Linked DNA regions of Rattus norvegicus. The protein of the gene in region 1 interacts with the protein of each later gene in a pairwise test. Links are inferred from orthologs where the notes say so. Each region holds a gene or a part of one and is shown in the gene's direction. Other genes may lie near its edges. The genes, in order: Rapgef4, Swap70 and Bmerb1.

Evidence for each region.
Region 2: the proteins of Rapgef4 (region 1) and Swap70 interact in a two-hybrid assay, tested with the Homo sapiens proteins (2 studies listed by BioGRID and IntAct). The link is inferred for Rattus norvegicus from reciprocal best matches to the Homo sapiens genes RAPGEF4 and SWAP70.
Region 3: the proteins of Rapgef4 (region 1) and Bmerb1 interact in binary tests that used the Homo sapiens proteins (3 or more experiments, as listed by UniProt). The link is inferred for Rattus norvegicus from reciprocal best matches to the Homo sapiens genes RAPGEF4 and BMERB1.

Annotation. Positions count from the first base shown.
Region 1 is NC_086021.1:77,215,605-77,219,923, forward strand, and holds the start of Rapgef4 (rap guanine nucleotide exchange factor 4), read left to right. Parts: upstream 1-1,442; 5' UTR 1,443-1,513; coding exon 1,514-1,578; intron 1,579-4,319.
Region 2 is NC_086019.1:173,750,802-173,754,446, forward strand, and holds part of Swap70 (switch-associated protein 70), read left to right. Parts: intron 1-2,305; coding exon 2,306-2,413; intron 2,414-3,645.
Region 3 is NC_086028.1:2,450,805-2,455,080, reverse strand, and holds the start of Bmerb1 (bMERB domain-containing protein 1), read left to right. Parts: upstream 1-1,352; 5' UTR 1,353-1,531; coding exon 1,532-1,634; intron 1,635-4,276.

The DNA of each region.
Region 1 (4,319 bases):
AATGACAGGTGATATATTGTCTTTTCCCCCCTCTGACTCCTCACCTCTAAGGATTCTCTGAGGCATTTGGAGCAAGCATTCAGTAACCTTGAAATGTCCCAATGCAATGGTGCTGATATCTTTATAAACAAAAATATTTAGAAGACACGTCTCCTTCACACCCTGTAAGATGACATCGTTGGAAATCTTAGCGCGGTACAGTATGGTAAGTGATATTTATGGTAAGCAATAGAGAGTAACAGAATGAAACTGAGCTGAGGGACAAGCCCCGTGCAGGGAGGTGCTACTGAAAGCAATTGTTTGCAGGTCTGAAACCAGATACTGTCTATTGAACATGGGGAAATGGAAAATTTTCTGGAGAGAGATTTAAGGTCAAGGTTGTTGTATGAGAACAAAAGCATCCCAGAAAGAAGGCACAGGCTGTTTCCTGCTCCCCAGGTTCTCTGCATCGGCCCTAAAAGGGGGAGCGTGTGTGGGGACAGTATGGATGAGCAGAGGGTAAAGCACTGTTCGTTCCACCCATACCTACTCCTAAATGTATTGAATATCAAAACGGCACTTGGTAGGAGTCCAACCGATTTAACTTGTCCCCACATTCCTGAAAAACGGTCTTTGTAAATTATTTTGTTTTTTGGCAGAGTCTAACTGAACAACTTCTAGGCATAACATTCACAGCGAGCACCTACGGGAGGCAGGCAGTTGTGGCGTCCCTCAGCACTCGGCCTGAGTTCATGGAGCACCCAGGAACTTGGCTTCCAGACCTGAACCCCTAATTCTGCTTGGGATTCAGGGATATCCCATTCTTAATTGTTTCATTTTGTCATGCTTGGGTCATGGAGCCCAAGCAAGTCCGAGGTTCAAGGCCGGTGACTTCAGTTTGCACCCCCTTATTATCCTCTGGTCTCCTGGGTCCTTTTGCCTCAGACCATGACCACACGGTCTCTTTCTGTCCTTCCCAGCCCCCAACGCCCCTCAACCTTCAGAATCATTTACCCTTTGGGGTCCACAACGAGATCATGGTGTCCTCCACCCCCACCTCATTGCCAGTCTTCCCAGCCCTGCCCTCTCTCATCCCTATTTAAATGGGAGACCGTAAAGGTGAGCCAGGAGCAGCTAGCAAGTTTTGACAGCTACCGAGGAGGACTAATGGGTTTCTAAGGAAACGGAGAGGCAGCAGCCATTTTAGTGGCATTTGCCGTACGAAAAATTTATAGAGTCTGACATCCCCTCCCAACGCGCACCCGGGTGGCACCGGCAGCAGACCCCCACCCCCCACCCCCGGAGGTGAGGGTAGACGCGGGCTTGACTGAGCCGGGCACCTGCCGCAGGTGTCCTGGGGTCGCCGCTCCTGGCGGGCGGGCGGGGCGGCGGGGCTCCCACGCGGGCGCCGCAGTGCAGCGCGGGCCTCGCGCCTGGCCCGCCCCTCGGTCCCCGCCCCGCAGGCCGCGGGAGCCCGCCGGGAGGCGCGCGGGAGGTGGCCGCGGCCCGGGGCCACCGTGCGCTGCTGCCCAACATGGTTGCTGCGCACGCTGCACACTCTCCGTCCTCGGCCGAGTGGATCGCCTGCCTGGATAAAAGGTACGGGGGGTGGGGTGCGGGATCTGGGTTGCAGGGGGTCACTCGTGGGGTGCCACCTGCGGGAGAGCATTCCACGTGCCAGGAACAGAATGCGGCGCTGTGGGGGACAAGGCGCCAGCCTGCCCTGGTCCCCTTCCTCCCCGCTGAGACTCCACGCTCCACTCGTGGGTGGGTGGGTGGTTTCCAATGGCATTAAGACCAGGGAGGGTACATGCATGCGGGCTTCAGGCTGTCCAGACCCTCAGGGAGAATGTCATTTAAGTTTTCAGGAGGGGCGGGGAGAAGGGGGCTATGCATGCAGGTGCAGAGTCACCTTTTTTTGTTTAAGGAAAACCAAGTGTGAGGGACTCAGTGGAGCTGTCAAGTCCCTTGCTGAAATTCACAGCTCTCTTCCCCAGGCGCTCTCTCAAGGTCTGTGTGAGGAAGGTCACCCGGGAGGTGGTTTTCTTCGTCTTAATCTTCTGCAGAAAAGACCCTCACTCTAAAGAGGAATTTAAACCGTAGAGTACTGACTCTGGCCGGCCTCTGATGAAGGCGCCCTGGGTGACAACCCATTGCAGTTGTTCCCAGGCTCTAACGGTGTAATTTTCTGTTTGTCCAAATTGCAAATTTAACAGTAAACATTACACAGTATGTTAGCAATTACAGTTTATTACCCTAAGGAAAAAGGTGAGGCATCTGAACTTTGAAGAAACAAGCAAAATGTCTTGCTGAGTGAACTGCCTCTGAATCTCAGAGTTCGGTGCCAAAGGCCAGTGATTCATATCTTGCAGCAATCTGCGTGATATCAGAATTTGCATTTGTGGGACATATTTTGGGCTCTGCCATATTGAAAATTTTTTCAATGAACGGATTTGTGACTGGATCAAACTTGAGAATCTTAAGAGTGGCCTGCTATGCATGTTCTGCTATGGTAGGCCTTTGATGAAAAGATATTAACTAACTGAAAAGAGCTAAATGTATCCGATTTGGATAACTTAATGTGATAAATAATCCTGACTTTTAGCTACTACACGGCAGCAAGAATATTTTTGGCAGGCGTTGCCCCATTTCCGACTAAAATGGTATGTTCTAATATTAGAGAGATTATATGCAGTAAACAGTCCAACAGTTGAAGAGACGGTTAAGTCATAGAGAATTCTGTGGAGGAATGAAAGGCATGTTTAAGCCGAGGGCCTGCTAATGTGATCAGTAATCTAAATTTAATACTTTAGGAAAAATGAGCTATAAAACAAGAGATAACCAGGAGCTTACACTTAACCTATGAATAGTGCTTCCTCGTGAGGGATCACTTTGGGTAGGAAGCCACATACTTCTCTTTGCAGAAGTGCATATCGGACAGTTTTTGAACAGTCAGTAATTCACTGGAAATCCTTTAGTCAGTGAGTACTCACGGCAAAGTCACAGAGTAGCAGAAGTGTGAGTGGAGTTCACAGGGTGTTCTGCCTACATGGCTGTATTCAGAATGGATTTTTAGGACATGTTGCCACAGTTTAATGCCACCGTTCATAATGGGCAAAAAAAAAAAAACCAAAAACAAAAACAAAAAAACTCCACACAAACACAAAAATAAAAACCAAAAACAAACAAAAATAAAGGTAGACAAAAAACCAAAAACCACAGCAGAAAGACCTTCCCCTTCCTGAGCCTCATGTTACTGAAATTCAGGTGGATAAGCTAAGGATGATTTAGGCTCAGAGTTCCCACCAGTTCTGATCTTGTACTTCATCACTTTTGCTTCCTGAGTTTGAAAAATGAGTGTCTCTGGCTCACCCCCAGCAGAAGGGAGGAAAAAGCTTCCTAGTGCTTTGGAAGTTAGGAAGTGCCCTGCGTATGTTTTATTTCCTCAGTGTGAAGACCTTCTTGTCTATTCTGTGGCCTCGCTCCCAGAATTCCTCAGAAGAGTCATTTAGGAGGAGCGCTTTCATTGCAAGCCAGTAGGAGGGGCACATTTTGAAGTTGCAATTTTAAATGTAGTCTGTTAAATTTTTAAAATGAGAGAGTGAAGGCCGAGAGTGGGGATGAAAATTGTCTGGGGAACTCCCTGTGCTGCCTTCTGTTCCAGGCACTGTGCTAGGCATCGAGGCGTAAAAAAGACGAAAGGTGCTTCTTGGCTGGGAGGGGCTGAGGGTGTGGTGGTGGGGTAGCTAGGCAACTGTAACTGCAGTCCAGTGATAAATGCTTTAACAAGGATGTGTAAAGTGCTTTGGAAATGCAGAATCAGGCCTGGACAGGAGAGGCTGAGGGTTATTCTGTCAAAGACAGAGTATAAGAAGGTCAGGCCAGGCAGAGGAGCAGGTTGGGGAAAGAAGGCACACAGGTATAGCAATAGACTAACCTTTCCTCCCCACAAAGGGATGCTCCATTTTCTAAATCTTGTATCATGGACATTTCCAAGTGTGCACAAGTAGAGAAGGACCAACACAGTGAAGGGGTATTTGGGACTATGATGATGGGATCATATAGTAAGTTTAGCTGAGAAATATAGTTCCAACGTTTGCACGAGCCAAATGACCAGGAGTCTGGATATCTGAAATAAAGAGGAGCCCAGAGATTGGAAATAGAAGAGAGAGTCGATGGACCTAGCACAGTCAGTAAAATGTCTGCTGTACAGATATCAGAGTTGCCAGCCACCTGTGCAGAAAGCCTGGCATTGCAGCAAACATCTGCTGACCCAGCCATGGGGGAGCATAGACAGGGGCTCATTGGCCAGCCAGTCTAGCCAAGATGATGAGCCCTAC
Region 2 (3,645 bases), on another chromosome or scaffold:
ACCACTGAGCCATCTCTCTAGTCCCAGTGTATTTCTTCAAGTATTTTTCTTCCCTTCTTAGTTGTTCCATATGTTGTTGAACAGAATATTGTGTATAAAAGTGCCTAGATTCTCTGGAGCTGTTTATTTTGCTTGGTTTTCTGTCCTTCTGATGGTATAATTTCTGTGTATCTCTTTAGTGCAGGTCTTGTAGTAGCCCAAGTAGACCGTTGAGCCCCTCCGGTTGATTATTTTTTGAAATAAGATCTTGTAGCCCAGGCTAGCCTTCAGCGCTCTACTTAGGGATGTTGGCCTTGAACTTCTGATCTTTCCGTTTCCAGCCTCCACGTTAGGAATCATAGGCGTGCTCGGCATACCACGTCCTGGCCTCCTAATGCTGTGCATACTGTCCTCTTGCTCTACCCGGCCCTCTAGAGGACTTTTCAGTCAGTTCTTGAACATTACAGCTCAGCAATCTCCACTTGGCTCTTAAAGGAGCCTCTTTATCTATATGCTTTCTCCACGTGTGGGATTTTGCTATTCCTTCCATTATGTCTTTAACCATGACTTCCTTTCATTCTTTATAGTATATTTACTGTAATGGCTTTGTAGATATGCCTCCTGGGCTGCTTCAAAGGCAGTGCCTGTTGACTGTTTTCCCACATAGGGGTTACACTTTCCTGTTTCTCATACTCTTTTTTTAGTTGAAAACTGGATGTTTTTAGAAGATAAGGTGGTGTGGGAACCATGGATACTGATCCTGATGCCCCTACCCGAAGCTTGTCATTGTGTGGTTATTTATTTAGTGACTTGGCTGGACTATTTCCTGGACCCTTGAGGCCTTCAGTCTGCTCCTCAGGGCTGCAAGCTGGGCTGTGCACAGCCACAGTCGCCTGGAATGACCCTCCCTCCGCAGGCTCCCCTCCCCTCCCTATTACTGTACACTTTCAGTGCACTCACCCCTGACTGCCTGCCAGAGTTCACTGGTTTCTGGATGGTTGATAATGTTTTCTGCAGAACCCTAGGAATGCTTACAGTCTGAGGTTAACTTCAGAGCCATTCCTCTCAAGGCCAGTCTTAAAGAGGGCTCTGCCTAGCCAGACCTTCCTGCTTCTGTCAGGCTCAACTAATCTGGTTGGCTGCTTCCTGGTGGGGCTACTCCTAATCCCTGCCCGAATCTAGTTTGTACGCCTCACATAACAAAGTTAGGTTCGGTGAGGGCTGCAGAGCCTGCTTTTCTCCTTGAGCAAAACTTCCCTGGAAGGCTGGGTGTGTGATGGCACAGACCTACAACCCCAGCACTTGGAAGGCTGAAGCAGGAGGATTGCAAGTTTCGTGAGCTTGGGTGGAGTCAGCAGCACAGACTTGGAGCCATCCACAGTCCTGCTTTAAGATCCTCTGCCACCAAGCAGAGGGCACAGCCTCTGTCACTTTTACTTCCTTCTCTCCATGGACCTTTTGCCCAAGTGAGTTGAGACCAGGGTGGTCAGACCTGTCTTCTCTGCCTGCCAGTGCCCTTGACCCCACCCTGGGGAAGCTTCATGAAAACCCAGCAGCTGCTCCTCCCTTACTGTAAACTGAGCTGTGAGCAGAGGACAGAGGGCGCCCTTGTCTCATTTTCATCTGCCAGGAGCACTCCTTCTTGCCTGGGGGAGGGGAGGGAGTGCCTGAAATGCCCCAGTGTCTGTGTCCTAAGGTCCAGTTGATTATCTTTTGTTGTTGTTTTCTGTGTTTTTGTTTGTTTGTGATTTGCTTTGAGGGTGGAGGGGATCAACTGTGGGGCCTCGTGGCTTGCTAGGCAGGCACCCTACTGCACAGCTACAGTCTCAACTCCAGAGTTTTCCTAGATGAATATGCGATGGCATGGCCTGCAGAGTTTAATATGTTTTGTTTTTTTGAAACCAGTTGGTCTTGGAGGGGTTGAGGATGGGTGTGGGTGCTGAGGAAGCTGTCAGTGTCACCTACCTGGAAGCTGAACTCTGGTTACAGACGTAAGGAATAGCGTGCTAGGAGACAGCACTGTATAGAAAGCTCCGGAACTTGGTCAAACTGTGTGAGCGTAGTTGCACATGGTTATGTTTCAGTGGCCTCCTCAGATTCTCTGTGTACAGTGTTTATACTCAAGCATTCATACCTGATTTGTTTTATATGCTGACTGGGCAGACTGGATGGAATTCCAGTGTGTCTCACGGCTTTGACTTAGTTCTGTTTTATTGAGCGTATGGTTTTGTTACATGCTTAAGCAAGACTTTCTCTTCCACTGTAACAGTTTTGCTTTTTTTGGGAATGGGTTTCTGATTGATTGGTTGATTGATTGATTGATTAGAAACTGGAGGAAGCAGCATCTCGTGCCGCAGACGAGGAAAAGAAGCGCCTGCAGACTCAGGTAGAGCTACAGACCAGGTTCAGCACAGAGTTGGAGCGGGAGAAGCTGGTAAGTCAGAATGGCCGATCAGCTCAGGAAGGCCTGGCTGCTACCTCACCCTGGCTTTGCTGTGCCTTGTGGTGGCGACTGGGGAGTCGTGCGCTTGTTTGTGACTATTCTTTAAGCATCTTCTGTGTATTTGAGAGGTGGAGGAAGAGGATGGGCACCTTGTTTGCCACACCCCTAAAGCAGAATTGTGTGTGGTGGGGTGAGGAGTGCTTAGTCAGCATGGTTACATGTCCTCATTTGCTTTGAGATGTCTCTGTCATCCTGGGGCAACCAGGACCTTTTCATTCTCAAAAGCTTTGTAGTATGGGCAGTCACTAGCTGTTTGAGAGGACACCTCAACACACAGCATTTCTCCTCCGTAATGAGCAAGGTGAACACAGCTCTGAGCTCCGTTTGCTGTTCAGACCACACCAAGGTCCAGTTGCTTTCTGGAGCTAGGCAGTTACCGGAGCACAGGTCTCTCATGGAGTGCTGCTGTGCTGGGCCCTGCGTCTGAACGCGATCTGGTGTTAGTCACTTGTTCTTAGAGGCAAGGTTCCTGCGTGTGTTCAGGAAGGCGCATGTGATGTATGTGATGTCCAGCTGCCCTCCCTCCCTGCTGTCTCTCTGAGCACTAGTGTGATTGTGATTGGTGTGTGCTCCCTGCACAGGTTATTCTGTGAGCTCTCAGGACTCACAGACACAGGGAGCTAACGCTAGTGACATAATTCTAAGGTGCAGAGAAGTACACCAATGTGTGACAGTGTGTGTCAGGGTACTGGGCACACATGTGAAGTAAACACTCTACCAGTAAGCTGAACCCCAGCCCTGTCTTTGTGTTTTTGAAGACAGGGATTAAAGCCTCTTCAATCCAGAGGGGAAAGCCATGCACTTGTTGAGTATACTGGCGCCCAGGGGTGGGGAAGGAGTAGAGGCTGTAGGGCCTGCAGCTCATAAGCTGCTCTGCCTGGGCAAAGGTTCATTCTTCTTAAGATCTGAAAAGAGGTTTCTGACTTTAAGACAGAAAAGAATCTAAAGAGAAGTTACACTTTTTCTAGACTTGAATACAAATATACAGTAAAAGGACAGCACACAGAGGGAGTGAGTGCTGGCTCGCAGTTCATTTTCTTGGATTCCTAGTACGGATGCTGTTTGTACATTCCTTTTCCTACACCCTTAGCTGAAAGGCAGAGGTGCGGTGGGAACCTCGCCCTGGGGACGGTCACCCCAATTTAAGCAAAACCACACTCCTC
Region 3 (4,276 bases), on another chromosome or scaffold:
CATTCACATAAACCTCCCCCATGCACCCCAGCTCATGCACATACATATGTTTTAGGCTCTCTAAATATAACCACAGTCAAGGAAATCAGGACAATAAGAGGCAGAATCCAAATTCATATAGTTTAGCCAGATTCAGGCGCTGATGAGCTACCCTGGCAGTTTGGAGCTATGGGTAAGTGATCTCTCTGCACACTTTAATTCTGTCTTCTGTAAAGCAGGGGGGAGTGAAGTGCTAGGTTTCACAGAAATATTGGGAAATGTTCTATGTTTAGCAGTAATTCAAAAAGTAGTATTGGGTTTTATCAATAGCTATACTTCATTCATTCATTCATTCATTCATTCATTCATCCATTCATTTATTCATTTGAGACATGGTCTGCTACACACAAATGCCCTATGTATCCAAGGATGAATTTGAATTTCAGATCCTCCTGCCTCTTCTTGTATGCTAGGATCGCACACCTGGTTTATGTAGTGCTAGGGCTAGGATCCAAGGCTTTGTGCACATTATGCAAGCATTCTGCCAACTGAGATGCTTTCTTATCCCCTAACTTTATATTAAAACCAAAAAAGTGTGCATGTGTAGGTCAGAAGTTGGTATAAGGTATTGTGGAGCAAGCAAGCCCTGAGGTTCCTGCTTTTACTCCTGGCACTGTGTACATTGCTGTCCCTGCTCTTTTAACATCTGCTCTGTCCTGTAGATCGGACTTGGGTCCTCATGCTTGGGCTGTGAATGTTGAACCAATTGAGCACAGTTGCCTGTCCTGACACTTTTTTTTTATTGCTGCTATGTTTGGTCACTATAATTATTTTCTAGGTTTGTAAAGATCAGTGTTCTGAACAGCTTTGTAGGCCATATATACAAAATATTTTTGCTTCACTTGTTCTTGTACACACACACACACGCACACACGCGCCCACACACATACACACACACACACACACACACACACACACACACACACACACACACACACAGGGTGGCTGCTGTCCACCCCCCTTTTATATTAAAATCATGTACATAAATGCAAACAACACAGAACCCAAAAGCAGCAGTCCACACTTGGACTTGTCCACAAAGAAGGATCATCATCCACAAATACGTTCTTGAAACCTACCAGCCCTCTAACAGATCCCAAGACACCCACAGTGCTAGATCCATCCACACAAAGCTTATCTACTGGCTTCAATGTGGGCAGGTGCCTTATTCTTGCTTCATTTGGGGGTGATTTTATTTTAGTTGTTTTTGCTTTTGTTGCTCTAGAGAGTTTATCATCTGTCCCTCTTTCTCCCTACCCAGTCCCCAAACCTCCTCCCCCCTCCAGCCTCCATTGCGCATGTGTTATGCATCCCTCCCCCATCCTGGGTACCAGTTGGGCGTTTTCGGGTGCTGGAGATTGAAGAGATGGAGCAGCTTCCTCAGCAACGCCCTGCCCCTTAAAATACTGCCATTCTGAGCCGCCTTCCTCCCTGCAGCCTTCAGCAGGGATGGAGTGAAACGGACCCCTGGACCTGCTCGCGGGGATCAACAATGGAGTTAAAGCAATCTCTGTCTGTTCATCTGGAAGCCGAGAAGCCTCTGAGGCGCTATGGGGCGGTGGAGGAGACAGCATGGAAAGCGGAGGGACTGGGAAGTGAGTGTTCGGGCAGGGAACGGGTGGGGACAGTTGGGGACTCTCTTGCTGAACTGAGGCCCCCTAGAGCAGACCAGAACGCGGGCGAGCAGACTGGGGAAGCGCCCCCGCAGCAGGGCTTCCAGTGTTGCACAGTAGCAATATTCTCCCTACAAACAAAAGAGAGGACCCTCCAGGGCTGGGCTGCTCCGGAGGCTCCTTTGGAAATCCCGAGGCAGCTAAGCTAGGAATCCAGCTGAGCTGGACTAAGGAGTCCAAGATCAAGCAATTGGAGGCTGCTTTTGAGAAGGACCACCTTTCCCGCATCCCAGGAGGAGGGATGCTGGAGTGTTGGGATGATTGAGGGCACAGGAGCCAAGGGCAGCTTGGAAAGCGCCCACATACAGAGATGGGGGAGTGTCAGAATCCTCTTTATGTCTTGAGGTTCAGGGCATAGCTGAAATCCCAGCATCTTCCCACCTCCTCCCAGGTCAGAGGAGAGGTGAAAGAGCAAGCCAGGGCAATGTTAGCGCTCTGTCGTCCCTCCTCCCCACCTCTGTTAGCCCTTGACTCAATGATCCAGTTTGGTTTGGTTCAGCTCTTGGAGGTGGTTTTGAAGCAGACCTCTGCAATCACCGGTTCTCTCTTAGGTGTTTTGGTATCAACAAACATCTCTAAATGAATCCAAGACTTTTGCTTTCAATTTGCTGGACACAATACTTGAAACTCTGCGAACAGTGGAGGCTATCTGAAGAGTCTAAAGCCACTGATGTCCCTACGATTCTAGGGGCTTCCCAATGTCCTCCACCCTGCCTCCTGTTCTGGTATGACTTGCCCAGCAGCCCTGGTATAGCCTTCAGAACTGGAGAAAAGCCCTTTTGCTTTCTTAGGGCCCCTGCAGCTACCTGCTCTGACTGGGTCTCTGGGCTTAGTGCTCTTCCCTTGCAGCAGCCCCTGAGTTACATGTACTTAAAGTATTGTAAATAAGGTCTTTTCCTATCCTCACGTAGGAGAAAGTGTGTGTGTGTGTGTGTGTGTGTGTGTGTGTGTGTGTGTGTGTGTTTTCTCCATTCTTGTAACTATGAACTCAATAACTAAGCTATATTGTGTTTGGATATCAAGTTCAAGTCCTGCTCTGATGGGTGTTCTAATGCTTCCAACCTCTTTCTTTCTTACATTTTCTTTTTCCTTAAAAGCACCCAGATCTTTTCCCTTGCTTCATCCTTCCTAAACCCTTTGGCTTTGGCACTTTGAGGTAATCTAGAGGTTGCAAATCTGTGGTTTACAAGCTCAAAATAATAACAGCCATGGCTGCCTTGTATTGTTAGATTGCCATGTCCTGAAAACTTCAGAAACACCTCTCATTTATCCCTGCTACAACCTTGTGTGGCATTGTGATGCCTTTTGCATGGATGAGGTGGAGGCTTGCTAGGCAACACAGAAGAAAATGATAGGACCAGGATTCAGACCCAGATTAGTTGAACTCCATACATTTTTCATGAAGGTTTACTGCTTCACAGTTTTAAGAACCTTCCTGGGTTTGTTTCAAAAAATGGTCAGTAATTTTATAAGCAGATATTGGCCATGTTGGTCCCTGCAGTCCACAATGCTTTATAGACAGTTGGGTCTCCATGGAGGAGAAGCCAAGGAGTCAAGGAATCCCTGGTTTGACTAGGGCTCTGCGCTTTGTGATAAGGTGTGTTTCTGTCCTCTAGCTTTGCTCTTTGAAAATGGGGATAATAATATCATCTACCACGTGGCTTTCTTTACAGCATGACTATTGATAAGATGGTGTGTGCAAAGCTCAGGTAAGTTCTCAGGACACAGCTATGTTTCAGTGGTTCCTCTGTAGAGGGAACCACTTTCATCCTTTCCATTCAACTGCATAGAGCAAGACTGTGAGTTCAAACTGCAATATTGGGCATAGCTCTGTGAGTTCTAGGCCAGCCAGGGCCACAAAGTAAGATCCTGTCTCAAAACAGAAACCAAAAACAAACTGAAATGTTAAGCAGTCCCTTAAAGCATTCTCTCCTCTCTCCCTGCCACATCTTTCTCTGCCTGTCCCCCTCCCCCACCATGGTCTCATATAATCTAGTCTGGCCTCAAGCTCTCTGTAGCCAAGGATGACCTTGAATTTTTCTGCCTGTCCTCTCAAGCATTGGAACCCAGGTGTGTGCCAACACATTCAGTTCCTTCTCATTTTCCCATTTTTTTTAAACTGGGACCAAATTCAAGCATGTAGGGAAAACTGAGGTAAGAATTCACTTTAAACAACACAAGTTCCTGAAAATTTTGTACTTCTGAGTCCTGGCTATAGGTGCCTTGATCCTCTTTGTCCAAAGCCTCCAAGATTCTGAGACTTGCTTCTTGTTTCAGTACCAGATTAGTTTCTTATGTGCCTTGGCACAGATTCCCAACAACCCCCATCTCTTTAAGCTACTCACATTTGAAATCTTGAAGTGGGAATCCAGAGGCCCACTTTAGATTCTCAACTCTGACAAGTTTTGGCATCTTAATTCCTGTCTCTAAGCAAGCATTTTGGAATTTTTGTTTACATGTAAGCATCCTCTCAATTCACAAGGGATTTACAGAGCTATCCCACAGGTGTGAACCTCCATTTATTAATGAAGTGTAGAAATTAGTAATACTGGGGTTATGGTCAA